7 linked regions of the Ovis aries genome follow. The protein of the gene in region 6 purifies or fractionates together with the protein of the main gene of each other region. This does not show direct contact. Links are inferred from orthologs where the notes say so. Each region holds a gene or a part of one and is shown on either strand. Other genes may lie near its edges.

Region 1 (3,500 bases), on a different chromosome or scaffold from region 6:
GCCATGAGTTTGATCAATCTATGGTTGGGAACTAAGAACCCACATGCCACAAGGTCAAAACAAAACAACAAAAAGCAAGTCTTAGATGTAATTGAGCACTGTGTTTTCAGTTCATTATTTCCTGATTATCTTTCCTCAAATGGAAATTTGTGAGGACAATAAGAGTAAAGACATAAAGAAATTTTATTTACGTTAGTGGTACAATGTAGATTTGGACCCTAATTAGAGGTAAAAAGTGAAATTTTACGTTTCCCTAGAGGCAAGATGAACAAAACCCAACAAATCTACAAAACATAGGCATTCCATTTTAAGCTGGTTTAAAAAGTGAGGGACAGAGGGAGGAAAAGATGAAAATACAAGGTTTTTTTGTTTTTAAAAGGATATTCTCTGAACTGATGAATCTGTGCTTTGATGTGATCTTCACAAATCTGTCTCAGCTGTTTGTACAAGTTTGCAGAAATCTTGTAAGAACAGAGATTTTCCACAGCCTGCAAAATTAAACACATACTTTCTTAAGGAGTGAATGTATCTCTGTATATATATTTCTTGATTATTTACATCTAATTCCTATTATTTGTTATTTCTACCATGTTAACTTATTAAAAAGGATGTCATCCATTTAAAACACAAGGTAAAACCACCAAATATCAATGCAATTAGTGAACTTTTTTCATAACCAGTGTAGTATACCACCCCTCCCCAAATCTGTTTATTCTGGCAGTACAGTTTAAGTATGGGGGGAATCAAGCCAAATTCTCCACTTGTAAAGACACTGAATTTATAACAACTGCTACATATAAACTCTGTCTTATTCATAAAAATGTTAATTGTTTTTCTAAGCAGAATTCCATTTTGAGTTTGAAAAATAATTTTACCAACTGTTTATTAGATAGTTTGGGGAGAAGGGAAAGGCTACCTACTCCAGTATTCTGGCCTAGAGAATTCCATGGACTGTATAGTCCATGGGGTTGCAAGGAGTTGGACACAACTGAGTGACTTTCACTTTCACTGGGCAGTCCAACTACCACTGAATTTAAATTTATTTATACTTTCTTTGGTTTTCCTGAACAGAGCAATCCAGAATTTGTTGCAAGCAGTGTTATAAGAATGAAATAATTATACAAGGATTTATCTCCAACACTGCAGCTTAAGAATATTTAAATAGCCATTTTAAAATTTTGCACAATGGAATAAACATTAACTCCTAAAGAAATACTGAATTTTTATTTTTTCTAATTGTTGGATTGGTCTTTTATAGTCAAATCCCAAAAGGACAAAACTGAGATTTCACTGAGTTTCTTCTTAGGTGTATCAAAAGACTTTCAAATTTAATACAACAGGCATGGTAGAACTCTGAAATAATCTACAATTCCAACTAGTAATGACTTAAGTATAACACCAGGATTTCTTTCTCACCACAAGAGAAGGCAAAAATTCCATTAAAATTGACTCTAAGGGACCATCCAAGTCCTGTTGGTTGGATTGAAATTTTATAAATATGTAGTTGGAAGTCATATTCCCAGCATGCAGGTCCAGCAAATAAACTCATAAATGAAAAGAAAGCTTAAATGAAACCACTTATACTAAAGGAGGAAAGGTGCTACACCTTACCAGCAAACAGCAGACCACTTAGACCCAGCAGCTAACGAGGAATAAGGAAGCGAAGTTCCTGCTGGCCACCACTTACGATGGGGCCTTGGGTCAGGCCACAAATGTCTAAGAGTGCGTTTATTTCATGTGCCTGACTGGTTCACAATGATCCCCTATGGACTCTCTTCCTCCTTTAGTAGTCTTCTCATTGTATCTTGGTGTTCCTTTTGAATGATTGATTTTCTCAGCGTTTCTTGTTTCCCTGCTTAAGTTGTCTTTGTAGTGCATTTTCTTCACATTTCCCACTTCAAGTACTTTTCCAAGTCCTACTTCTACCATTCCCTTCTGCTGTGATACTTTCTTCCATACGTTAGTTCTCATCCCACCTGTTTATCTTCTCATACAGGATACCACATTCCCTTACTACTCAGCTAGGTTCCACTTCTTCCAATAAACTTTCCTTAACTGTCTCAGCTACCAATGACTCGTATGGCACTACCAACAGTCATACCATACTGACCTGTCACTGAATCAACACTGTATCTTTGAATGTGTATATCCTGGCCCCCAACTCTCCTTAATGACAGAAAGAGACCAGACCATGGGCTCATGTACCTGTATGTTCTTTAATACTTCTGGGGCTCTAAACCAGGAGAATATAATAAATATTCAAAAAACTAATGTACTTATAACTAGCAATGTGTCCTACACACAGAAGAGGCTTACAGCATAAAGTGAAAACTGGTCAGAAAATATGTAATTACAACACACTATTAGGTGCTATGATGGGGATAAACATAGAGGTGAGGTCTCTAACTCAATCTTTATGGCAGGGAAAAGTCAGGAAAGGCTTGCTGAGCAGCAGTAAAGAGGTGGAGTTCCAAAGACCCAGAGGGATGTGGATAAAGAGCTTATGGGAATAGTGAGAAAAAGAGAATTGGGCCCAGGTGGAGCAATGGTAGAGAATCCACCTGCCAATGCAGGAGATTCAAGAGATGCAGGTTCGATCCCTGAGTTGGGAAGATGCCCTGGAGTAGGAAATGGCAACCCGCTCCAGTACTCCTGCCTGAAGAACTCAATGGACAGAGGAGCCTGGCAGGCTACAGTCCATGAAAAATGAAAGTGAAAGTGAAGTCGCTCAGTCATGTCCGACTGCGACCCTGTGGACTGTAGCCCACCAGGCTTCTCCATCCATGGGATTCTCCAGGCAAGAATACTGGAGTGGGTTACCATTTGGACACAACTGAGCAACCAAGTGTGTGTGCATGCACATTATATGCATATGGCTTCACGTGTGCTTAGAAAGCGGTTTAAGATTGTTGTTGTTCATTCACCAAGTCGTGTCCGATTCTTGGCAACCCCATGGACTGCAGCACACCAGGCTTCCCTGTCCCTCACCATCTCCTGGAGTTTGCCCAAGTTCACGTCCATTGCATTGGTGAAGCCATTCAACCATCTCATCCTCTGTCACCAGGTTTAAGTTATTAGAAGCAATAAAAGAAGGAAAGGCCAAGGCAGGAGGATCTAAGGTGAATTTTGAAGGTCAAGATGGAACAGAACCCCTTACTAGTCTCTAATTTAGCCTTGACTGCTTAACATATAGACCAGATTGAGTAATTTTCCATCTTTAAGAACTTTTCCATCAAGCTCTTCAGGTATTGTTATGGAGAAATTGCCTAACAGGTATAAAAAAATACAAAGGACTGCATGGTGTGGTGCTGAATAGTGGTCTACTATCATTTATGTATATATAAAAAAGAAAATTGAGAAAACCTCCACACATCTGTTTTTGCACACATGAAACATTTCTGGAATGATACCCCTAATAACATTTGTTTGCTGGGGCAGGGAGGTTGGAGTGGAAATGAAACTTTTCACTACGTGCTCTCTCATAGTTTTTGGGTTTTGAG
Region 2 (3,500 bases), on a different chromosome or scaffold from region 6:
ACCCTCGCTGCCCCCGCTCCCGAGCCCCGCAGGCTTCCTCGGCCCCCTGCAGCCTCTGAGCCCAGGAGCGCCGGTGGTCCGCCTGGTCAGAGCCCGTGCTCTTGCCCGGCTGCGCAAGCTGGGACGACCCTCGCTGCACTCCTCCTCTCCCAGGGAAGGCCCTGGGACTCTGGCCTGTTCCTGCCATCCCTCCACGCCCGGCCAGTCCTGCAGCGCCGGCACGCGTGTGCACGCACACCCCAGGGGGAGGGGGGAGACGAGTGTCAACCAGCAGGCACAGACGGGGCGTGGAGGTTTTCCAGGAAAGAGTGTCAGCTTGCACGGTCACACCCGCCCTGGGAGCGTGAGCGCGCCAGGCAGAGTGTGGGGAGGGGTGCAGAGCCGTCCCATCGCGTGGGGAGATGTGGGAAGGGGCGCTGAGTCTGGGACAGCCGTGACAGACCCGGGGTGGGGGGGATTGGAGACACAGGCTGGAGGCTGAGAGGGACGGAGCTGGGGCTTCCAGGGAACATGTGCGTTCGGGGTACAGGCAAGAGGAAAAGGAGGAGAGGACGCGACAGAGACTGCCTGGGGCCAGAAACGGGGGACTCCAGGAGACTCTGCCCTGCGAACAGGAAGGGTGGGTCCGGGCAGCAGCACATCTGCCCGGGTGCCAGGCCCTGGGCCTAGCTGTCGCCCCGGAGGCCCTGGGCCCACGCCGGCAGGCACACCCCATCCCCCTCACAGGGCCCGTCTCAGCCACACAACGCCGTCCCTGCCCTCTCAGGCCCTGGCTCTGGTATGTCGGGTGGGAGCATCAGCCAGCCAAGGAAGCTCGAGGCTCCCACACAGGAGCTTTTTAAACCAGCGCCTCCGTGACAGGCAGCCGGCAGAGACAGACCAGGAGCGCCCGCTGTGAACGCTGCTCCGAGAAGACGCGGATGGTCAGGGCTCAGCGAGCGTGGCTGCCACGCTCCCTGCGGTGCGTGGGGCCTGGAGCAGGAGCGCGTGGCAGCAGGGTCTGGCTCCCGAGCGCGCTCACCTCTGGAGTCAGGTGCACCTCCACGGGCGTGTACGTCGGCCAGTAGCCCATGGTCAGGATGTTCACGGTCAGGTCTATGGAGCCCGGGTCACTCTGGTTCTGCATGTACTGCACAGACAGGAAGCCGGGACAGACGGCCACTTTAGAGCAGCGCCCAGAACTGACCTCCAGAAACCGATGACCCCATTTCCCAGCTACAGCTCACCTTGCGTTTCATTTGTTCGAGCCCCTGGAACATAGCCCACTGAGGCCACACGCCCTGGTCAAACGCCACTGGGAACGTCTCTCTTCACTTCTGCCCCAGATACGGGCCATTAAGCTCATTTAAGCCAGAGTTCCAAGTGCACTTTTAGGAATTAGTTTTCTTTTCTTGTTTTCCAACTGCGCCACACAACCGGCAGAACCCTAGTTCCCAGACTGAGGACTGAATCTAGGCCCTCGGTAGTGGAAACCTGGGGTCCTAACCACTGCACCAACAGGGAATCCCGGGGGGTTATGTTTCTTTTTCATTTTGAAGTGTTCTGAGTACGTGGAGCATCAACAGCGTGATTTTTAAAGACGAGGATTTTACACAGGTCACATACTTACATGCAAAATCATTTCACAGAATCTGAAATAGCGTGTTTTTAAAAGAGCTGTTTCACTTGAACACAACTTGCCTGCTTGAAATGAACCATGATGTCCTTGGAGAGCTCCATGTCCTTGAACATGCCCTCCAGCTTGCTGGTGAATGCGGCCCCGCACTCTGCACAAAGCGGACGGCGGGTGAGCATCAGGAAGGCCCTGAGTGGGGCGCTCACCCCCACCCCCGGCGCTTACCGTGCTTCAGCTTCGACAGCATGGATTTCTCAGCGTCGACGGAGGCACTTTTTCCAACCAGGAGTCTTTTTGCTAGATCTTTTTTGTAAAAAGCTTCAAACACGTCTTTACCTATTTATAAGCAAGAACCATGTGAGACATTTAACAGTTGCCGTCAAAATGTTCACCTCAGCTTCTGACTCGGCCCAAGAGGCGACCACGCGCGTGTGCCAGCCAGCTCTTCCCGCTGAATCCCCACAAACCCCCTTGCTGCGCGCACAGCGGCTGCCACCGCGGTCCCATGCCGCGGACGCGCTGGGGGCCCAGCTCACCGTGGATGAACCGGAACAGGATCATGACTTTGTCCAGCATCCTCTCCAGCTCCTCGTCTGTCGCCTCCTTGTTCCCTGCTCTGAGCTTTGAGTCTACGTGCTTTGCTGTAGGAGAGGATATCATTTGAAAAATAAGCATTCACTCCACAATACGATACATATTCTAAATACAAAAAGGAAGGTCTTTAATTTCTCCAAGAAAAAACACTTGGAACCTTCCCAAACTGACATGTTATTTTGTAACAAAAAGGCAAACACCTGATGTTCTAAGATCTGTGCTTTCCAGGCTCGGAGAACACACCCCGCGGTCCCACACTGGAGCTTCCTGGCACACGACCGCTCCAGAAGCCGGAGCAGCCCGCCAGCAGGATTTGCGGAGACGTGCGGGCAAGGCTTCCTTACGCGGGAGCACTCCCCTCAGGGCTGACCCCTCAGGCACAGAGTGGGTCCGCCTGCCCTCCTGCTTTCGAGACGCACAGGCTGCCTCGACCTGCCCAAAGGAAGGGAGAACCCGAGCTCCCCAGAGTCCGAATGTGTCTTTAGAGAAACCACAGTCTATAAAGTGGCACAAAGGCCAAATCAAACAGGTGCATTTGAACGTCTCCTTCCGCTGGCTCGTCTTAGCCCCTCCCCTCATTGTCTTGATTCTGAGCGCCACAAATGTACGCACTTGTAACCTCCACTTTCCCACCAGGCGCCTTCACCAGCCCACACCGGAGCTCAGCCCTATGCCACGGCCTCACACCTCCCTGCCCACTGCCTCTGGACAATTCCAAAAAAACTGCCTCACTGATGAGACTCCATGAATCCTGGTATATTTTGATGTTATCAGGAAATAAGTATACAAAGGGATCATTTGAAAGAGTGCCAATCAATCGCACCACATTTAACACTGACTGGGGGATACAAGGTCGAGCCTGAACAGCCATCTCCTGTCAGGCGCTGTCGAGAGGCCAACAGTCACCCTCCTAACATTCCTACACGACAAACCCAGGCCAGCTTCTGGGCAGGAAGAGCTCTGGGGCCGGGGCCGTGCAGGCGAGGAGAAATCTGCTGGTCTCATCCTGCTCCTGAGACGTCAGGCTCCATCTTGTCACAAAACCATCACCACACGCTCCCAATGGAAACATCACGTGCTCACATATGGATTCAGCACACAGAAGCGCACGCTGGTGTCTGTGGCTTCCGGAAAGGCGGCCCTCTCAGGCCCGCCCACCCTCCCCGTGCGGCGCGTGCTCCAGGGGAAGCCTGTGCGCGAGCCTGCTCCCTACCGATCAGCTCCGCGGGCTTGTTGGGCCGCTTGTTGATGAATGTCTCGAAGGACTCTTTCATCAGGTTGATGAACTTCT
Region 3 (4,156 bases), on a different chromosome or scaffold from region 6:
CCTAGGTCAGACCTCTCTCGCTCACCACTGATCTGTGGAATCTTCCCTTGATCATGGGACAAAACATGTGTTCTAGCTAAGCATCCTTAAGCCAGGGTCTGAGCTCCCTGGATCTGGGGCTTTCTAGCATCAGTCAGAGGGAACATCTCTCGTTCTAAGGCAGCTGGTAGGACTAGGGTATGGTACCTTGACAGGCAGACATGAAGATTTGACCATCTTTGCTGTAGATGCCACAGAAAGCTTTCTGAGAGTAGGTATCGGTGAAGCCCAGATCGTTGGGCAAGAAGCTGGGGAAGCAGAAAGAAAGTGAGGGTAAGAGGAGCTCAGGATGGCTCCTTGTCCCAGTTAGTAGCATCCTAACACAGCTGGATGTGAGTACAGGGGCATTCTTCCCGGCTTTGGGTATAAGCCTTTGTCTTTGATTCATTCTATCATCCTCTCAATTGCTATACTTTTCCACTTTGCTCATTCTCAAAGCCTCAACCCCACATAACCTAACTTTAATATCCTTGAGAATCCTTTAACACTCATCCTTTTAAGGTTTAAGAAAGTTTAGACTTATCTGGCCCCTGGAATCTCTCCACCAAGCCCCATACTCACTGAGACATCACTCGAGACCGTTCTCCAAGGGAGAAGCTTCCCTGGTGGCAGAGGCCCCGTTCTCTCTAAAGGAAGGGATTGGGGAATATTGCTAGTAGAAACAGAGGGCCACCTCAGCCACACCAAGCCCCCTCCTCCAAAATATTGCTCTTGCTACAGGAATGAACCCAGCACATAGTAATATGTCCCACCAAATGCCCACTCAGGCTGGTTGAGAGTGCTCCAGCTCCAGCACTTGAGGCTTCCTTGGAAAGTTTACTTCCCTCTTCTCTGGGATTGTGGATTCTGGCTGCACTAATAGTCCTGCTGCCAGACTGGCTGGATGAGGAGAGGCCTACCTGGTGCAGCATTTGAGGAAAGCTGAGCTCCCGGGCTGCCCGCCTAAGCCCCAGCCGCCCTGTGGCCAATTCCACTTGTGTCTTGATCTCACTGCATTCCAGCTCCCGGGTGTCAGGGGTTGCATCCACTGTGAGCACCAAAGAGAAGTTTCATCCTAGGTCTTTTCCAGCCCCAGCAGATAGTTAGCAAGGCTGTGCTCAGCCTTCTCAATGTGGCTGAATATACTGGGGCTGCAAAGACTCCCTCATTCCTTGAATTATCTCAGCTTTTTCTTTCAATTTTTGCCAAAATTAATTTTTTTAAAAAAGTTTTGTAGTGGAAATCCTTTGATGTCAGGGTCTCTGTCTGTCTTTCCTCTTACCTGGTGGATTGTATCGGTCTCCAAGACGACCATCCCAGGCACTGTCATGCTCTTCCTCTGAGTCCGAGAGGGCCTGGATGAGCTGCAAATTTGCTGCACCTCCTCCCTGCACCAACCTCACTTGGCCTCTGTGGAGAGACCCCCCCACCCCGTGATAAAGGGGAGGATCCCTTCCCCAGACCAACCAAATTCAGAGTCAATGGTTATGTAGTTCATAGACCACCTTGTCCTCAAACCCCTGTACTGTCCCCATGTTGAGGTTTGAGGCTGACTAGACCATGGCTGTTATTTTGTCTCCTATAAGACACACCAGGAAGCTAATTTTCACTCTTACAAGAGGAGCAGAAAACCCCAGCATTGCATGGATGTTGGCTAATCTACTGATTTGACTTCCCAGAGAGTTAGAAATTCTGAGAGCATTTCCTTCTGAGTCTCTGCCCAAGGAGTCTAGCATAGGACATGGTTTTCTGAAGGGATTCTCAAGCCTGCCTTCTCCCTCAAGGAGCCATAGCTAAGAACCAAAGCCAGTTGCACCCCCTTTCCAGGCAATTGCCAGTGGTCACTTCCCTCAAAGCATTCTTTCTTCAGGAACAGGATTAGAGTTAGGTTAATTTAAACTTGTTTTTCAAGTAAATCCATGTGGCCTCATATCATGTGTCAATGACTTCATTTAAATTCAACACCCACTTCCCCAACTCTTTTCTTCACCCCTCATAGCACTTCCTTCCCACCAGGACACCCCTCCCTCTTTTTTCTTTTACTTACTTGGAAAATAGGTTACATGTGTGTAGTCATAGCTAGACTCCCTTGAATAGTCCCCTCAACACAAGAGCAAATCATCCTGCTGACCCTGCCTAGGGGAGTGCTGCCAGTGTCCAGCAGAGAAGGCTGTTCTGCTCAAACAGAACAGCTATCCTGGGCTGATCCCATTTTCTATTCTCTGTAACTTCCCCGACGGGAGCTGGTATCAAGGGACTGTGGTGGTGCCTGGTGGGGACACACCAAGGGGTAAGTTACCTGCGTAGGAGATAGGCCAGTACCTGGGCCAGATCCACATCTTCATCCTCCTCTTCCTCCTCCTCACTCCTACGCAGGCCAGCCCCTCTTCGGGGCAAGCCCTCGGAGGGGTCTCCGGACCCAGTTCCTGCGCTGCTACTGTTACGTGATCCCATCTTCTGGTCACAGCATCCTTAAGTCCTGTGTGGGGACTCCTCCTGTCACCTCCTTGGGTTTGGTGAAAGCAAAGCCTGCTCTAGAAACACCAGAGTTTCCTGAGATCGATAGTAGCTATCTCTAGGAGGGCGACCCTTCCTAGGTATTGAGATCCCTTCTCCTCAGCCTGTAACAACTCCCAAGGCTTCGGGAACACAAACCTTTCCCAATCCTGTGAAGCAAAATAAGCAGAGTGAAACCTAGGGCATGACCCTAGCTCACTAGTGAAAATCCTTTGAACAGGAATTTCTCAGTTTTCCACCTCAAACTCACCTATCAAAGTCCCTGGGGTGGGGGTGGATTCCCAGGTAACCTCTCCGGCGAACCAATCAAAACCCCTCGCGGATGGAAAGGCGCCTCATTAGCTTACCCACCTAGCCAATCAGAAGCCTTAGAACTCAGAGACCCCCTCGACGCCCCCCTTGCCGGCCAATTAGAGCACTCCCTTGCGAGAGCCGGTGGCAGCAACAACCAATGAGGTTAAAATTCGGCCTAACACCCCCCCCCTTCCTTGCCTCACGCCCACGTGGTGTTCCGGGGGTGTGTACGCTAAGCGGGGGCAGGCAGGGAGGAAGCCGAGAAGCACCTCCCACATAGTTTGCGGTTACCGCCACGCGCGAGACCACCCACCAGCGAGAAGCAGTCGCAGGACCAGCAGCGGCGCGAGGCCTTGTTTACACGGACTGCCGCCGCAGCGTCGGCTAACAGCTTCTCCGTCACGCGCCGCCTTCGTCACGCATCTCCCCGCTCCGCGACCGGCGGATTACGGACGTCACGCGACAGCCCTGACGGCCCAGCCCTCTTGGCCAGCTTACTGGACAGCTGAGCGCGGTGATTGACAGACGGGCGGGAGAAAGTGCGCGAGGGGTTTGAGGGGAGGAGAAAGCGCGCAGCCCAGTAGGGGCGACCGCTCCTTGTGGGAGGAGTATGTAGGGAACCGGGTGCTTCCTGAATTTGAGACCACGGAACTAGACTAGATGAGCGAGGGGCGGGGCTTACAAAAGACGTTGGCGCGCTTCCGTGAGGTGTCTTAACAAGGGATACAATTTGCTGTCGGTCCCTTGGGTTAGCTTGGCTTCGCACTTTTCAGACGACCTCTAAGGACCTACTCTTTCCTTCCCTTTTCCCCTTTCGGCTCTATCCTCTCTCTCTTCGCCGACTGCAGCTACTGCCGTCCCTGCCCTAAGGGGTGCCCGGCGCCTTTGGGAAGTGTTCACGTCATAGGCCCTCCACCCTCCCTTCCGGACTTAGCTTCCGGAAGCCTTGTTCTTGTAGGGTTTGCCGTTTCTAGACCTCCTGTTAACAGCTTTGGCAACTTTTTAGGTGACCCCTGTCGGTCTTTGCTGACGTTCCCTAACACAGACACGGGTCTCCTTTGGCCTTTACTTTTTGTCTGTTCCCCTCAGCCGCCCCCTGGGCCCTCTGGGATTTGCGGACTTTCTTTAGATCTTCTGTGCTTCGGGTGCCTCTCCGCCCCAGGCCGGCCCTGGCGCGCGGCGCCTCCTGCCCCCTCCTCCCGGTTTATGAGTAACTGGGCTAAGTCCAAGGCCGCGACTTGTGTACTTTGGGATCCTTGCCCTTGCTGGGGTTGGGTGTGTGTGTCTGTGCGGGGGAGTGTTGATTGTTCGTGCCGGGCGCGGGCGC
Region 4 (4,196 bases), on a different chromosome or scaffold from region 6:
TATAGTTTGTATCTAAAGATAATTATAACAAGAAGCAAAACAGAGGAGTTTTTACTTCTTTAAAAAATTAACATAATTATAATAACCAACAGATAAAGTCAGATGACTCCCCGTATCTTTCTCTGACTAAAAGTTAAATCCTATGAAGGCAGAGATTTTTGTCTATTTTTTCACTATGATGTATCCCCACTGCCTAGTCCATAGCTGGTGCTTAAAAAATACTTGTTGAATCAATGAATGCCTCCCTAATCTCTCCACTGAATTCCAGACTTGGGTATCCAACCGCCTGCTTCTCACCTCTACATGAATACTGAATAGGTCCTACTTCAAATGTCCCATCCAACCCTACACCCATACAACAACCTGCTTCCCTCACTTCCCCGTCTCAATTCACGGCGTCACAGCGTCACCACGTTCCAAGTGAAGCCTCAAACCCAGGAGTCACCCCCATCCCAGCCAACCGCGTTCCCATCCGAACCAGGCCAGATCACTGCTTTCAACTCCAAAATAGACCTCAGCATCTTTTTTCTTTGCCTTTGGTCACTACTCAGACCTGCCGCAGCCTTCTCACCAGTAGGCCTGCTTCTTTCCTCTTATCCAACCTCCTTCAGGTCAGATTGTAAACCAGACCATATCACTCCCAGCTTTGCAAAAAGGGAACAGCTTTTCAATGATCCTCAAGAATAAAAGCCAAACACACTCCTCTGGATAACAGACCTCACATGACCTGACCCATGGCTACCACCTAACCTTTTCTTTCTCACGAGGGTCTCAGCCCAACTTCAGTGAGTTGCTTTCAGTTTGCTGAACCTAAGCTTGAAACTACCTTTGGACATATCCATTTGCTGTTCCCTCAGACTTGCAGAGGCCATATTCTTCCCACTTTTCAGATATCAGGTCAAAAGTCTCCTCAGACAGGTCTTTCCTGACCACAGCATCTGAAGCAGTCTCTCCTCGTCACTACCACGCCTTCCTATTTTACTTCTTTTATAGCATTTTGGATTGGCTGAAACTTTTTCTATTTCTTACTTTCTGGCTTTCCCTTACCTCCCAGAACTGAAGCTCCTGGAGAGCAGAACTTTCACATGTCCTGTTTATGGCTGTATCCCTAAGGCCTCAGGTAATGCTTGTCATACAAACCAGGTGCTTAATAAATAGTGAACTGACAAAGGCAAGGCAAAACAGACTTTGAAGAAGGCCTACAACATTCCATTTAGTGACACTGGTGAAGATTAAAAAAAAACATGAAAAAACTACCTTCCCACAGAAAACACTTAAAAATCACCAGAGGCTGGAGAATGAAGCAAAAGTATTTCAGATGCATGTGAGCATTCAGACATAGAAAGGGTATTTTTCACATACTATGTACAGATGTCCTTCCAACTTATAAACAGTATCTGGGGTAGGGAAGAGTAACTGAGAACACCGTGTACATCTGCTATTTCATCTCTGACTCTTTTGGAAGGGTCTTCCAACACCGTATTTGGGCAAAAGAGGCAAAATATAAACAATCTATTTGATTGTCTGCCTTGGAAAGAAACGTGAGATAGTAAGGAAGAGAGAGCAGTCTTTTGAGTGTTCTTAAATGCCTATTATGTAGTGGGTGATAAGTCAGAACTAAGTGATTATTTCCCCTATCTTACTATGTATAGATCTGGGACTGTTCTAGTTCAAAGATGTTTACACTGTAAAACCAAAGTCTGTAGTGAATGTTAATAGTTTTTAATCTTATAATCAAAATGTAAACTTCCAAGGTTCTCCCTTACAACTAGGTATTAGTACTCCCTGGGGAAAGGAGAGGATTTAACGACAAAACAGTCTGCAACTCACAAATGTTTTCTGTACATGCACGTTTTTGCAGGGTGGTAGGGAATGGTCCAGACTCCCTGGTGTGTATCTAAGTGCTCTTAAGAGTCTAAGGATCTTATTTCACCAGACCCCAAGGGTTGAGACAGGTCTAGCATGCACGCAGGGCACTCCTCCCCAGAGCTATCAATCTTCGCTGTCTGCGGAAACAAAAGTGAAGACACTCGTGGTAAGGATGTAAGAGATTGATGCCCCCCGCCCCCGACCCCTCACACCGCAAACACACAGAGCTGTGTAACCGCATGGGCGCGTAAATAAAAGAGAACACGCACTCGCACCTTTCCTCCCTGGGAGCAAAATGGGGCCGAGGGAGGGGCGGCCAAGGCCGGCTGGAGGCCCGGGATACAGTCCGGGGGCGGCCAGGCTCCGGGGCCAGCGCTCCTGGAGCCAGGGTCACCCTCAGGACACCCGGTCCCCGGCCTCCCCCCATGCCTCCCCTCCCCCTCCGCGCCCCCAACTCCTCTCCCCGCCCCAGCCCCGCCACCCACTAACCGGGAGAGGAAGTTTCCCGGAGCCCGCAGCTGGCTCCGGGCCTTCAGCGGGTTACCTGCTGCAGAGGCGGGACCCGGGGCAGGGAGCAGGGGAGGGAGACAGTCCGAGGGCGCGCAGGACGGTGCCCGGCGAGGAGGGTGGGCGGCGGCGGCTGTCAGCTCCGTCCCTGCTCACCGCGCTGCCATTACTGCGCGCAGGCGCCTCCCCGCCGGCCGCCACCACCGCCGAGGAGCGGGGGGGGGGCCGGCCCGGGGCCGGGGGGCCAGGGCGCTCACCTGCCGTCGCGGGAACACGGGACAGCTCCCGGATGGAACGGCGCAGTGGGGAGCGGACAGGGGAGAAGGGCGGGCGAGCCACGCGAGCGGTGAAACAACCGTCCTCCGAGGTCCTGCTTTCCCGGCACACCCTCGGGGTTCCTCTTCCGCGACCACCAAACACCCCCGTCCTGTGCCGGCGTTGGTAGAGTCCGAGTACGGCGAGGGCCGAGGGCCACTCTTGTGCGGTGGCGGAAGGCCGAGGGAATCTTGCTCCAAGCCACTGCGAGCGGCCCCAGCTGCCCACGAGCGCTCGTGGTTCGCTGAGCTGGCGACTGAGGACCCCTTAAGTCCAGGGGCGGCTGATAACAATGTGTTAGAAAAGTGGTTTCAACACAGGATTTTCCCCTAAAGTTCTTTTAGAACTACGTGAACATTCTGATACACCACCATCTCCTTGCCACCTACTTACTTCTGTGGGCTTTTCAAAGGATTGATAGGTATTAGCAAAATTAGTTTCCTCGGAGTATCCTTTTCTGGTGGGTTTTTATCTGTAGACATTCTGAGACATAAATAATGTATTTTCAGTAGAGGCCCGTCCCTTCACAGCCTGTGACCCCAACTCCCCGCCTCCCTGCACCTGTCAATCCAAGGGTGTCCTTCGCCTACAAATGCTCAGGGTGATGTTGACAAAAGTTCAGACAGTACCCATCTCCTCCCTAGTACGCACAGCGCCCCAGGGAACAAAAGCCTGGCTTTATTCTTTTATCAGCCTTTGGTATCCAAAGATCTCAGAAGTCAGTCTTCTCTGTGCGTTTTAAGCCTTTCCCATCCAACACCCTTTCTTAAAACTCTGTACCATTCCTTCAATGCATGCGTGTAGGCTTAGTCTCTTCAGTCGTGTCCGACTCTTTGGGACCCCATGGACTGTAGCCTGCCAGGCTCTACTGTCCATGGGACTTTCCAAGCAAGAATACTGGAGTCAGTTCCATTCCCTCAAGGTCCACGTAAAATCTCCCGACCTGGTAAATCCCACGGATCTTTCTCCTCTTCTAATCTGCCTCTCACAGCACTTGAAGTCTGCAGTACTTATTCTAAGAAAGCTATCATGTGTTAAAATCAATCCCACATATGACCTGTTTTCTCACATGGTCTCTTTCTTTTAATCCAGCAATTCTCAAAGTATGGCCCTCAGACCTCTGGAAATCTGAGATCTTTTCAGGGGTCCCGATGTTAAAAACAATCATCTTTGTAAATGACACGTTCTTTGTTATTTTTTTCTGGGTTCACAAAACTCGGCTGACATCTCTCTCCTCAGGCAGAATCAAGAGGGAGGCAAGAGACATTCCCTAGCCAACCAGTGGTTAGGCCTCTGCACTTTTACTGCCTGGGCCTGGGTTTGATTCCTGGTGGGAAAACTAAGATGCCACAAGGTGCCTGGCAAGGCCAAAACAAAAAAAAAGAGGGTGGCACAAATCTGTCCTGTTGGTCATTGCACTGAAGCCATACACTCCCAGTTTGGTACTTTGTTCTTGTTTTGTATTAGGAATATCCTTGGTGAAGTAGTAAAAAGTACTAATTTTA
Region 5 (2,504 bases), on a different chromosome or scaffold from region 6:
ATAAAATCCATGTTGAGCCATTCTTTCCCAGTGGGGAATAAGTTTTCCTTTTTTAAGTTGTTCATGTCTTCAAGTCCTAAAATCTCCATTACTCTGGGTATTCAGTTGCCAGCAACTAAAAAGTTGCTACTTTGGATTGACTGAAAGAAAGAAGTTTAAGTGTTGGTTCTGAACATTATTTAAATGCTTACTTTCAAAATATATAAATATATATATATACATATTATTTGGCAAGTTTATTGTTCATATTAAGATTGCAACAATTCTGCTTATGCTTTTCAGGTCTATGTTGTGGTTTTTCTTTACCTCGTAGGTGACTGATAATTATTACTTTTTAAAACAGAATATCTTCCTTTCCAGAAACCTGAGGCTACAAATCCCTAATAATGAGACTTTAAAACTTCAAAGTATTTCTATGCTACAGATTAAGAGGTCAGTTATATAATTGTATTATATTAAAGCAGGAGATTTCTGCCTTATTTTTTAATGAATTTGAGTGTAGCATAATAAATATTAGGTATATAATATTAAGTGTCTTAGTAAACACTTAATATGCGAGTTTTGCTATTTTTGACTCTGAAGTTGAAATGATCTATCTCCATACATTTTTTTAAACAACTAAAATAATAATATGAGCTTCACTTTTTCAAAACAAACTCTCTGGCCATATAAGATTAGAAAAAAAAAAAAAAAACCACTCCATTTAACAATGAACAACTAAAACAGTAGTCTCCTGCTTAACGAAAGCCAACATTTCTTAGTTGGAAAAATTTACTATCACTTTGAAGTCCCCACTAAAATCCAGTTGTTATACTGAAGCAGTGTTTGAACATATGATAATACTAAATACTTATCTGTTCATCTATATCTGCCCTGTCCCAATGTTGTGTAGACCAGCTCACTCTTTTGATCAAAAGAAATCAAGAGTGCTATTTCTAGTTTTAATTGAATTTAAAAACAAAAACAAAACATAACAGCATTTTTCAGTGCACAAACATCTGAAGATCCTTCCTTGTGCAAATACATTTTTCTAAGACAGGAGAAAAAAAAGGAAAAAAAAGGCAACAAGAACCCCACTTTCACCCTCCCAACTGTTATTTCTTCTGGTGGGTATAAACCAGGATTTTAAAAGCTCATAATGGGCTCTTTGTGAATGCAAGTTTCTCACAAAACAGCATGCTGTTAAAACAGAGTGGTGCAACATGAAAGGAATGCCACCATGCTAACTAATGTGATTGGCAAAATATAGTTGTTTTGTTAGGTAAGGCAGAGATTTTAATATTTATGTAATCGAAGTCCAACTAAACCTTCCCCTAGCACAAACTGTAAGAACTTTCTGCCGAAGCACTCCAAAATTTGGGTTCTTAATATTGTCCATGATATTCAAAATTACGCCATATATATGAAAGTGTTGATATCAGATTCATCTCTTCTGATGTATTTGTGCTCTATTAGCCATTCTATTTGCTCTTTAATCATTTTCTTTTGTGGCAGGAACATGTTTTTCAAAATTTCTACTAATTCAGTCTGCAGCTGAGCATTACTAATTTTCTTTCTCATCTTCATTATTTGTATGATAGCTTCCTAAAAGAAAAAATAAAAATAAAGTATTAAATTATTTTAAGTAAAACAAAACGAAAAATGACTTTTAATGTTTTTTATCCTCTATCCAACATCTATCCAAATGATTAGCAATCACTGGATTAACCTTGAGACCTGTAACAAACAAAAGTATCTTCTTTTCACTGTGGAAAACAAAATCTGCATATTATGGATATTCTGAAAAATAAAGAAAAGCAAAATTACTCATATCCCTTTTTACATACTTTTCCCCTTGTATTTACAGTTATTTCTTTGCATAGTAGTAGCAGTCAGTTGCTTTAGTTGCTCTGTTTTAAAAATTAACAATCACTACTCTTTATATACTTATCAGATTAATGAGCTGTACTTATTATCAAGTACCTTCAGTTTATAATGACTCGACTAAATGGTTCAACTTTCTGGAGGAGTAAGCACTTTTCATTTAAGTCAATTTTATTAATAATTTCCTTGATGATTTAATTACTATTAATCTATATAATATAGATAATTAGAAAATTACTAAATATTTTCTCTTTTGTCTTTTCCAGTACAAGGTCTCTTCTTAGTCAACAAAAGGCATTCATCTGCCTTACTGGAGATTAAAATTCATTATAAAAGAAGTTTAAAACAGAAATGTGTTAATATTTGCTTTTAAACACTAAAAAACAGAGATTTGCTACAAGGCAATAGGCTTGGGAGTCAGGCAGTATTCAGTATGAGAAAAGTATACCATCAACTTCCTCTGCACAGACATGAGAATTCCTACACTGCCACGAGCAGGTCAGAAGAATTACTCCTAACAGTATGTCCAAATCCACACTCTGGATCACAGGGTTTATGTCAAGGGTTCAGGGAGAAAGAAGGAAGAGGGAAAAAGTCTGTCTTCCTTCAGGCACTTGTACTTTACAGAAACCAGTAAGGCG
Region 6 (4,217 bases):
TGTGCTCCCTGTTCTTTTAATGGGAAAGCACAGCCAGCAGAGATCTTTATCCGCCAGCCACAGCCAGCAGAAGTGTCCGCAGCGAAGGCCCTGTTCCGAGTGTGCGCCATCTAAAGCAGTGGCTACTGAGTCTTCAAGATGCTGCATGTATGACAGAGGAGCTGAATCCTGAATGTCACTTATTTGTAAAGATTTACACTCAGACACACAACAGCCACTGACCACCATCCTGCGAGTGCAGGCTAGACCTCGGGCTCTGACAGCACCTTCCTCCTGACACACCCCTGTCTCAGGAGCACCAGCTCAAGTGAAGCCAGACCCTCACTTCAGGTCAATTTGTTCTCAGTTCATCTACATTATTTCAACTTCCACAACAACCATAAAATCCCAATCTATGACACTAAAACATCAAGAGAAAAAAAAAACAACCGTCAAGTACATAGTCACAAGAGTTCAAAAGGCCAACTGGAATAACGTCTGTTTAACTTGGTCTTAAACCAGCTTAAACTTGTCTGCAGGGTGCTCTGGATTACTTGGAACTTCACTCAGCTCGGCCTCCTGCCATGTCCTGCCACTCTTTCCTCTTTTCAATTCAGAAAATGGGGAGAATACCATGGATCACACGAATAAAAGTACTCAGATAAACACAAACTACAGTGCCACAACTGAGATCACCATTTTTTTAAAACATTTCAAAATTTGTATTAAGAATTTTAAAAAACAATAAAGCAGAGCAAAAAATACAAGCAATGATTAGCTGCAATGAGGTAAAGGTAACTGCTACAACGTGACTTTAGTTGTGCCAAAGAGCTCACTGTCGTTTACAGGGCTTGCTTCCTACACCAAACAAAGCCAGAGAATGCAGCGTTGAGGCTGAGCGAGCACAAAGCCGTGAAGGAAGACGCCCTTACAAGACAGCGAGGACGCCCAAGGAGTGCTCCTGGACGTCCAGGGCCCCGAGCACGGTATCCAGATGGGATAAGTTCTTCGCCAGAAGCTCCCCACTCTTGTTGATCAGTTCACAAAGCTGAGTCATTTGCCCTGGAAAACAAGAATGATACTTCCATTCAGAACAGCATTCACCAGACCAAAAGATGTCATACCTCAGACCTGCCAGTGCCTAACGGTGATTTCCTCCAACTCCTTCATTTCAGATGAGGACCCAGAAGGGCCAGAGACACCAAATGATTTTGCCTTTGGCCTCAGTGCTAAGTCTCCCACTTTCCTCTGGCCGCCGAAGGTTTCGCACTCCCACTTCCAGTGCCCCAACCCAGCAGAGTGCACATTACCATCAGCACCAACTCATCTCCCTTCTGTATCCAAAATGTCACCAGCTCTGACTTCATCTCACTCCTCAGCCTCTCAGTCCACACTTTCCTCTCCCCTCCGCCTTCATTCCCACGCCTGTCACTTTCAATCTGCACGCCATCATCTTCTGAGCAGCCCCCTTCTTCCTTCTCTACCCCAGCCCTCACTCCACACCAGCACCAGTCTGTGCAGGAGGCGTGAGGCACATCAGTCAGAGGCAGGGCAAGTGACCTGCCCGTCTCTGCTGGGCAGCCTGCTCCTACAGCAGCAGCCTGCACAAAATGTGTGTGTGAAGCTTCCAGGCGAAGCGATCCTGTTTGATGCTCACCAGCACGGCCCCGGCTCTGTTTTGTAAGTAAGAAAATTGAACCTGGGAAATGAGTTGTTTGGTTAGTCACCAAGTGACTGAGACAGGTGCATGCGTGTTCAGCAGCTAAAGTAAGTCATGTCCAACTCTCTGCAGCCCACCAGGCTCCTCTGTCCATGGGATTCTCCAGGCAAGAATACTGGAGTGGGTTGCCATTTTCTCCTCCATGGGATCTTCCTGACCCAGGGATCGAAGGGGATCTCCCACATTGGCAGGCAGATTCCTTACCACTCGGCCCAACTGAGACAGGACTTTAACCCAAACCTTCTAACCTCACGTCACCTCGGGAAACTACAGTCTGTGGCACAAACAAATGAGTGAGTGTCTTCCTCACTCCCAGAGACTCCCAGCCTCACTCCTGACCCTAACTCCTACCAGTTAAGAGAAACGAGGCAGAACCGTTGCGCCGCGCAGCGCCAGGAACCGAAGCAACCTCGGGGCAGCCTGGCGGGCAGCACCTGGGTCCTTACACCGGGAGACGCGATTCCCGAGAGAAGGGTGTCTGAGCAAGGTCACGCGGCTCCTGGAACCTTAACGGTTCCTCCCGCTCACTCCTGACAAGCCCGCGCAGTCCGGACGTTTCTATTTCACAGATGAACCAACAGGGTGAGGAAAGGGGCCTCACAACAGCGGCCAGTTACTTTAATTCTGGGCCCAGGGCACGTCACTCAGGCGATGAGAGGAACCAACCAAAGGCATGAAAATTAGGGGCAAATTCACAGCGGCCACAACTCCGCCCCCCGAAAAGGGAGCCGGGAGCCAGGGCCCTCGGGGGTCGAGCGCGGCCAGCCGCGAGGGGCCCGGCCGCGCGGCCAAGTCGGGAAGGGCCTCCGGGAAGCGAGACGCACCGAGCTCCGACGGCGGGGGGCGGAGGCCGGGGCCTGGGCGAAGGGGTGGTCCATCTCGCGCGCTCCTCAGCCCCGGCCCAAGCTCCAAGACCCCCGCCGCAGCCCGGACGCAGGTTCGCGGCCCGCGCCCATCGCCTCACCTTGGGCGGAGAGCTGGCGGACGCTGTTGACGAACTGCTCCAGGGCGGACGCCATGTTCCCGGTAGCCGGGCGACGGAGGCGGCGCGCGCGAGACGAGGGCCGGCGACCCACCGGAGGGCCTCAGGGCGGTGACGTCACTTCCGCCGCTCAAGCGCCGCGAGATCTACCTACCTGGACCCGGCTACTGTTTCCATGGAACCGGTTCTGCGGATGCCCGCGCCGGAAAGCAGGTTTTTTTCCCTTCCGTTTTCGTTCTGTGCACACGTGAAGTCGCTCCCTGGATTTAAAGGGGATGGTGGGCAAAGGAAGGAACTGAACGCCTAGCTGTTGTTCAGTCGCTCTGTCGTGTCCGACTCATTACGACCCTATAGACTGTTTAGCCCGCCAGGTTCCTCTGTCCATGGGATTTCCCAGGCAAGAATGTTGGAGTGGGTAGCCATTTCCTTCTCCAGGGGATCTTCCCCACTCAGGGAACCCGCCTGTCTTAATCGCAACCTCTTCCCTGAGGCTTTTCCAGCCAGGTAGTAGTTGTCCAGACAGGAAGGCAACCTGCCTTCAAATCCCTTTTCTAGCACTTAGTAGCTCCATGACTCTCGGCAAGCTCCTTGGCTGTCCGCTGCCTTGTTTCCCCATCTGTAAAATCCTCACGATAAACTACGTAAAATACTTATGGCTGGAGAGGGGTGATGTGAGATGGGGCTGCAAGATAAACAGGGGCCATGTCAAGTAAGCCGTGTTAAAGCTACTGGATTTTTCCTTGAGAAGATTGGGGAGCAATGGAGAGTTTCATGCAAGCGAGTGGCATGATCAGACTTGAATATGGAAAAGACTGGCTTCACATGGATAACCTCAGAGAATCATTTAAGAAGCTATTGCAGTACTGAGTTGACATGAAATATAATAGTAATAATTGTATGTTGGTATAGCGGTAGAAATAAATGGATGTATTTGTATATATGAATGTATAGATGATGACATGTACGGATGAATGACTTTAACGCTTATACTGTAGGACAGAGATATCCCTGTGTGCTGTATGGCCACAATTGATTCTCAAACAGAGAACAGATATTTTGAATTATAGGATACATTTCCATGGATATACATGGATTTTAATAAAAGCCAGAACTTTCCAGAGAAGTTAAGCACTATAAGAGTTCAAAATAGCCACAGCTACTGTGTGCTGCACTCCATGCGGTCGCAAAGGGTCGCACGTGACTGAGCAACTGAACTGAACTGGACTAGTCATACTTCAGTTTTTTTTTTTTTTTTGCCTATTTACTGGGATCTGTTCTCAAAGTGTGATCCCCAGCCAAGAGCAGCAGCAGCACCTGGGAACTTTTTTTTTTTTTTTTTTTTAAGATTTATTTGGCTGTGTCAGGTCTTCCTTGTGTCATGTGGGATCTTTCCTTGTGACCCACAGGCTCTCTGGGGCTTCCCAGGTGGTGCTAGTGGTAAGAACCTGCCTGCCAGTGCAGGAGACCTAAAAGACGCAGGTTCAATCCCTAGGTCGGGAAGATCTGCTGGAGGAGAGCACAGCAACCCACTCCACT
Region 7 (4,134 bases), on a different chromosome or scaffold from region 6:
TCTGGATTCTGGGAAATGGTGGCTGCAGACCCAACAGCCTTTCTGGAAGTTGGCACGAGCCCTGCCCTCAGTCTGCTTTGTGAAGTAAGCTCAGGTCCAGTTCAGCAGTCACCAGCTCTGCACTAATGCCCTTCCCGCCCCAGGCTCTGTTTCTGAATCCCACGTGGCGTTTACTTGTGTCCTCGGGCTCCTCCCAGGACCGTCCTGGGGACCTGCCGGTGTCCTGGACCTGAGGCATGCCCCACTGGGTTTATCTGGTTATTTTCTCCAGGTGGACTGGTTTCCTGGGACTCCTCTAACAAGTTACCGCAAATTGGGTGACTTGAGAGAATCTCACGTTCTGGAGGCTGCAGGTCCAAGATCAGGGACACGCTCCCTGCAAGGCTCTGCCCTTCTCAGCTTCTGGGGGCCCCAGGCAGACTGTGGCTTGTGGACACATCCCTCCAGTCTCTGCCCGGTCCCTCTTCTCCATGTCTCTCACATGGGCACTTGACACTTGTTGGATTTAGTGCCGTTCAGATTATCCAGGATGATCTCTTCTTGAAACTCTTAACCACATCTGCAAAGACCCTTTTCCCAATAAGGTCCCGTTCATGGGTTCTGGGCATTGGGACTTGGACACAACTTGGGGGCCACCATCAACCCACGACACTGGGACTCAGGGCTGGGGGTGGAGCACACCGGGGGGAGGAGTCTTTCCTGCTGGGGGTGCTGACGCCCCCAGGACCATCAACTTAGCCACTTGGTTAAGGGGCATCTGCCGGGTTTCCCCAAGATGGGGTTCCAATCTGCTCCTTACAAGCCACTCCCTTAATGCAGCCCATCCGGGAGGGAGGCGGGGGTGAGGTCCAGCCTGGAGCTGGGCGCATGCTGTGAGGAATTCTCCCCACTTCTGTCTGCTCCAGCAGCAATGCTCCAGAGTGTTTCCTGGAGCACCGGGTTACATCCCCACCAGCCTGTGGGGCCAGCCTGTGGAGGATGAGCCCAGGCACTGTGATTAGGACCTGGTTAGTCCCAGGGTTGGTTGGTCACAGGGTCCACCCTCCCAGTGGCTCCAGGAAGGAAGTGTCTAATGGTCGGTCCCAGGTCACAGAGGTGGAGGGAAACTGAGGCTCAGGAGAGCCCAGGGTCACTCACGCACCTGATCGCGGCAGGTAACATTTCACAATGCAAATGAAACAACAACCCAAAGGCTGAATAGAAAAGGAACTAGAACCTTCCATCAAAAGGATCCACAGAGCAGGAATATCAAACAAGAAAGGCATGACAGAGGCTGGGGCTCCTGGGTCACAAGGCAACCAGTCCTCTGGGGAATTCGCAGGGGAAGGGAGAGGGTTAGGGCAGGGACAAGCCCCAGGAGGTCCTGGGGACGCCCTCACAGGCCTGGAACCTTCCTCGGACAGGAATCTAGTCCCAATTGCACATAAATAACCAGGAAAGGGCCAGAGAGAAGAATCTCGAAGACACAGGCCAAGTAAAAGCCACATGCCAGAATGGTGAAGACAAGCCTCACAGCGGGTTGGGGACTCTCCAGGCAGAGTTGCAAGAACCCCCAGCCCCCTCCCCCAACAGAACCCTCCCAGCATCCCCCAGCAAGCAGTTGGCAGGGTGGTCTGATACCAGCCCCGCCCCACCCAGGAGTCTGGAGGCTGCACCCCTGAGACTGGCAGAGATGTGGGCCTGCACCAAGGAAAACCCCATTCAAGAGAAGACCTGGGATGTACGGTGTCAGGGTCTGGGGTTCACGAGGTGGGAGTTGAGCGGGGCTCTGGGGGGTCCCAGCCCCAGGAGGGGGAACTCGGGGGAGGAGGTCACTGGGGCCCAGTGGAGGAGGCGGAAGGAGATGGGGTCTCTGCAGGTCCTTCGGCTGTCCAGGCTGGGGTCTGCAAGGCCTGGAAAGCCTGGCAGGGGTTGAAGGGTCACAGAGATGCAGCAAGTGAAAGAGGTCAGCGCACCTGGGAGATTTCGGGCATGAGCGCAGGGTCAGGGATCATAGAGCCAGGAGACTCCAATGAGGGTGGAGGGGCAGGGGTCGCAGGAGCGGACCATGGCTGGTATCTGGAAGTCCCGGCTGGACGGAGGCCTGGCAGGGTCACAGGGCCTTAAGGGTGCTGAGACCCGGGGGCGGTGGGGGAGGGCAGGGCCCCAGGACAGCAGGGGTTCCAGGAATGGCTGGTGCTGGGTCCCCGGGGCTGGCGGTTTTCCTGAGGGGAGACGGGGAGCGGGATCCCAGGAATGACTGAATCCTGGGGAGGGGGGTGGGGGTAGGGGTCCGGTCCCGGGGATGACCGGGTCCCGGGAAGCGGCAGCGTCTTGGGGGATGACGGAGTCCCGGGGGGCGGGCCTCGGTGCTAACCCGGTCCCAGGTCGGGCGGCGGTCCCGGACGGCGGCCCACCTGTGCGCCGGGATGCGCTGCGCGCCGAGCCCCTTGCCCACCAGGAAGTGCACGTCGCAGAGCACCTCGTTGTTGAAGAGGAAGGCGAAGCGCTCCTTCACCGTGGGCTTGGTGGCCTGCCAGTTGTAGACCGGCTCGCGGAGCAGCGCGGCCGCCCCCGGCTCCTCGGCCGCCCGCTCCCCGCCCGCCGCGGCCTGCGCGCCCGGCCCCGACACCGACACCGGCGGGGGCGGCCCGGGGACAGCGGGGGCCGGGGCGGCGGCGGCGGCGGCCGCGTTGCCGGGGGCCGGGGCGGCGTTGGCGCTGGGCCCGGGGCCGGCCCCCGCGCCCGGGCCGACCCCCGGCGGGCACGACGCGCGCCCGCCGCTCCCACCCGCCGCCATCTTGTCGGTGCGGCGCCCGGCGGGGCGGGCCGGGCGGGGGAGGGGCGGGAGGAGAGGGGAGGAGCGAGGAGACGGGGCACGGAGGGGAGAGGGGCGGAGCGGGAGGGGAGAGGGAGGGGCGGGGCGGGGGCAAGCAGAGGCCGATGGAGACCGTACCTCAGACCCCGGGCCTAGACCCCAGAGCCCCGACCTCAGACATGGGACCCCTCACGTGCTAGATCTCGTACTTCAGACCTGGGACCCCGACCCCAGATTCTAAATCCTGTACCTCAGACCCACAACCCCGGGTTCTAGATCTGTTGCCTCAGAAGCTGGACCCCGGGTTCTAGATCTGTTACCTCAGATCCCCAACCCCGGGTTCTAAATCCTGCACCTCAGACCCCTAACTCCGGGTTATAGATCTGTTAGACACTGGACCTCCAGATTCCAGGTCCTTAACCTCAGATCCCGGACCCCGGATTCTAGATCCTCTACCTCAGACCCCAGATCCCAGATCCTGGACCTCAGAACCCGGGTACTAAACCCAGACCCCTTACTTCAGACTCTATGTCCCAGATCCAGAAATTGTGACCCCAGACCTCAAACCTCAAAACCCTGACCTCAGATTTGGAATCACCAGTCTAGATCCTAGATCCTCAACTGCAGGGGCTGCAGGCCTCAGACCTCAGTCCCCATAATCCCACTCCTACATCCTGGGCCTCAGAACCCATGCTCTGGATCCCAACTCCAGACCTCAGATTCCAGACCCGGGACGCCAGAACTAAGACCCCAACTCCATTCCCTAAACCCCAGATCCCAATCTCTGACCCATGACCCCCAAACACAAATGCAGACCCAACTCCAGAGTCCAAACCCCATAGCTGGGACCCTGGACCTTAGCCCCAACCCCAGGTGGTCAGCTGAGGGGACTCCACAGTGGGGGTAGCGCTGAATGCAGGGGAGGGCTGTGCATCCCAGAATCAACAGAGATACAGGTCCCTCCTCTGAGCCAGGTGTCAGTTGCCCGGTGTCCACAGAGCTGCAACCCACAAACAGCTAACTGCACCCACAATGTCAGAGTGCCCTAATGCCTTGAAGAAGAAGCACAGGCAGCTAGGAGACCATAAAACAGGGTCTCTTGAGCAACCTGGGGGTCACAACCTGGAGATGCAGCCTGAGGAATGTAACAGAAGGTATGACTTCAGGGGTGCAGGGGCAGCTTGGAGGCTTTCCTAAAGGAAGGGAGGCTGACCAGTGACTCAGGAGTCAAGAAGATGAACAGGGAGTGGGGGGTGGGTACCCTGTTTAATATCCCAGAAGGCAGGGGCTGAGTAGAGAGGGAGACATAAGGGTGTTTTCACCAGACCCTACCTGAA

What was found.
Region 1: the proteins of COPS3 (region 6) and CUL4B purify together in Homo sapiens (affinity purification with mass spectrometry; 11 studies listed by BioGRID and IntAct, counting the BioPlex papers as one, with this or other methods). This does not show direct contact. The link is inferred for Ovis aries from reciprocal best matches to the Homo sapiens genes COPS3 and CUL4B.
Region 2: the proteins of COPS3 (region 6) and CUL4A purify together in Homo sapiens (affinity purification with mass spectrometry; 10 studies listed by BioGRID and IntAct, counting the BioPlex papers as one, with this or other methods). This does not show direct contact. The link is inferred for Ovis aries from reciprocal best matches to the Homo sapiens genes COPS3 and CUL4A.
Region 3: the proteins of COPS3 (region 6) and DCAF11 purify together in Homo sapiens (affinity purification with mass spectrometry; 3 studies listed by BioGRID and IntAct, counting the BioPlex papers as one, with this or other methods). This does not show direct contact. The link is inferred for Ovis aries from reciprocal best matches to the Homo sapiens genes COPS3 and DCAF11.
Region 4: the proteins of COPS3 (region 6) and CUL2 purify together in Homo sapiens (affinity purification with mass spectrometry; 5 studies listed by BioGRID and IntAct, counting the BioPlex papers as one, with this or other methods). This does not show direct contact. The link is inferred for Ovis aries from reciprocal best matches to the Homo sapiens genes COPS3 and CUL2.
Region 5: the proteins of COPS3 (region 6) and CUL5 purify together in Homo sapiens (affinity purification with mass spectrometry; 3 studies listed by BioGRID and IntAct, with this or other methods). This does not show direct contact. The link is inferred for Ovis aries from reciprocal best matches to the Homo sapiens genes COPS3 and CUL5.
Region 7: the proteins of COPS3 (region 6) and BTBD2 purify together in Homo sapiens (affinity purification with mass spectrometry; 3 studies listed by BioGRID and IntAct, counting the BioPlex papers as one, with this or other methods). This does not show direct contact. The link is inferred for Ovis aries from reciprocal best matches to the Homo sapiens genes COPS3 and BTBD2.

The regions. Positions count from the first base shown.
Region 1 is NC_056080.1:104,877,681-104,881,180, forward strand, and holds part of CUL4B (cullin-4B), read right to left. Parts: intron 489-3,500; coding exon 384-488; intron 1-383.
Region 2 is NC_056063.1:85,900,618-85,904,117, reverse strand, and holds part of CUL4A (cullin-4A), read right to left. Parts: coding exon 3,423-3,500; intron 2,257-3,422; coding exon 2,152-2,256; intron 1,952-2,151; coding exon 1,841-1,951; intron 1,767-1,840; coding exon 1,681-1,766; intron 1,130-1,680; coding exon 1,022-1,129; intron 1-1,021. UniProt on the Homo sapiens protein: Core component of multiple cullin-RING-based E3 ubiquitin-protein ligase complexes which mediate the ubiquitination of target proteins. As a scaffold protein may contribute to catalysis through positioning of the substrate and the ubiquitin-conjugating enzyme.
Region 3 is NC_056060.1:20,842,409-20,846,564, forward strand, and holds the start of DCAF11 (DDB1- and CUL4-associated factor 11), read right to left. Parts: upstream 2,801-4,156; 5' UTR 2,473-2,800; coding exon 2,318-2,472; intron 1,429-2,317; coding exon 1,301-1,428; intron 1,067-1,300; coding exon 939-1,066; intron 666-938; coding exon 601-665; intron 288-600; coding exon 187-287; intron 1-186. UniProt on the Homo sapiens protein: May function as a substrate receptor for CUL4-DDB1 E3 ubiquitin-protein ligase complex.
Region 4 is NC_056066.1:17,650,754-17,654,949, reverse strand, and holds the start of CUL2 (cullin-2), read right to left. Parts: upstream 2,801-4,196; 5' UTR 2,634-2,800; intron 2,548-2,633; exon of another isoform or gene 2,359-2,547; intron 2,007-2,358; 5' UTR 1,831-2,006; intron 1-1,830.
Region 5 is NC_056068.1:17,395,703-17,398,206, reverse strand, and holds part of CUL5 (cullin-5), read right to left. Parts: intron 1,585-2,504; coding exon 1,390-1,584; 3' UTR 1-1,389. UniProt on the Homo sapiens protein: Core component of multiple cullin-5-RING E3 ubiquitin-protein ligase complexes (ECS complexes, also named CRL5 complexes), which mediate the ubiquitination and subsequent proteasomal degradation of target proteins.
Region 6 is NC_056064.1:34,632,738-34,636,954, reverse strand, and holds the start of COPS3 (COP9 signalosome complex subunit 3), read right to left. Parts: upstream 2,801-4,217; 5' UTR 2,719-2,800; coding exon 2,664-2,718; intron 1,042-2,663; coding exon 912-1,041; intron 1-911. UniProt on the Homo sapiens protein: Component of the COP9 signalosome complex (CSN), a complex involved in various cellular and developmental processes.
Region 7 is NC_056058.1:41,967,343-41,971,476, forward strand, and holds the start of BTBD2 (BTB/POZ domain-containing protein 2), read right to left. Parts: upstream 2,801-4,134; 5' UTR 2,780-2,800; coding exon 2,397-2,779; intron 1-2,396.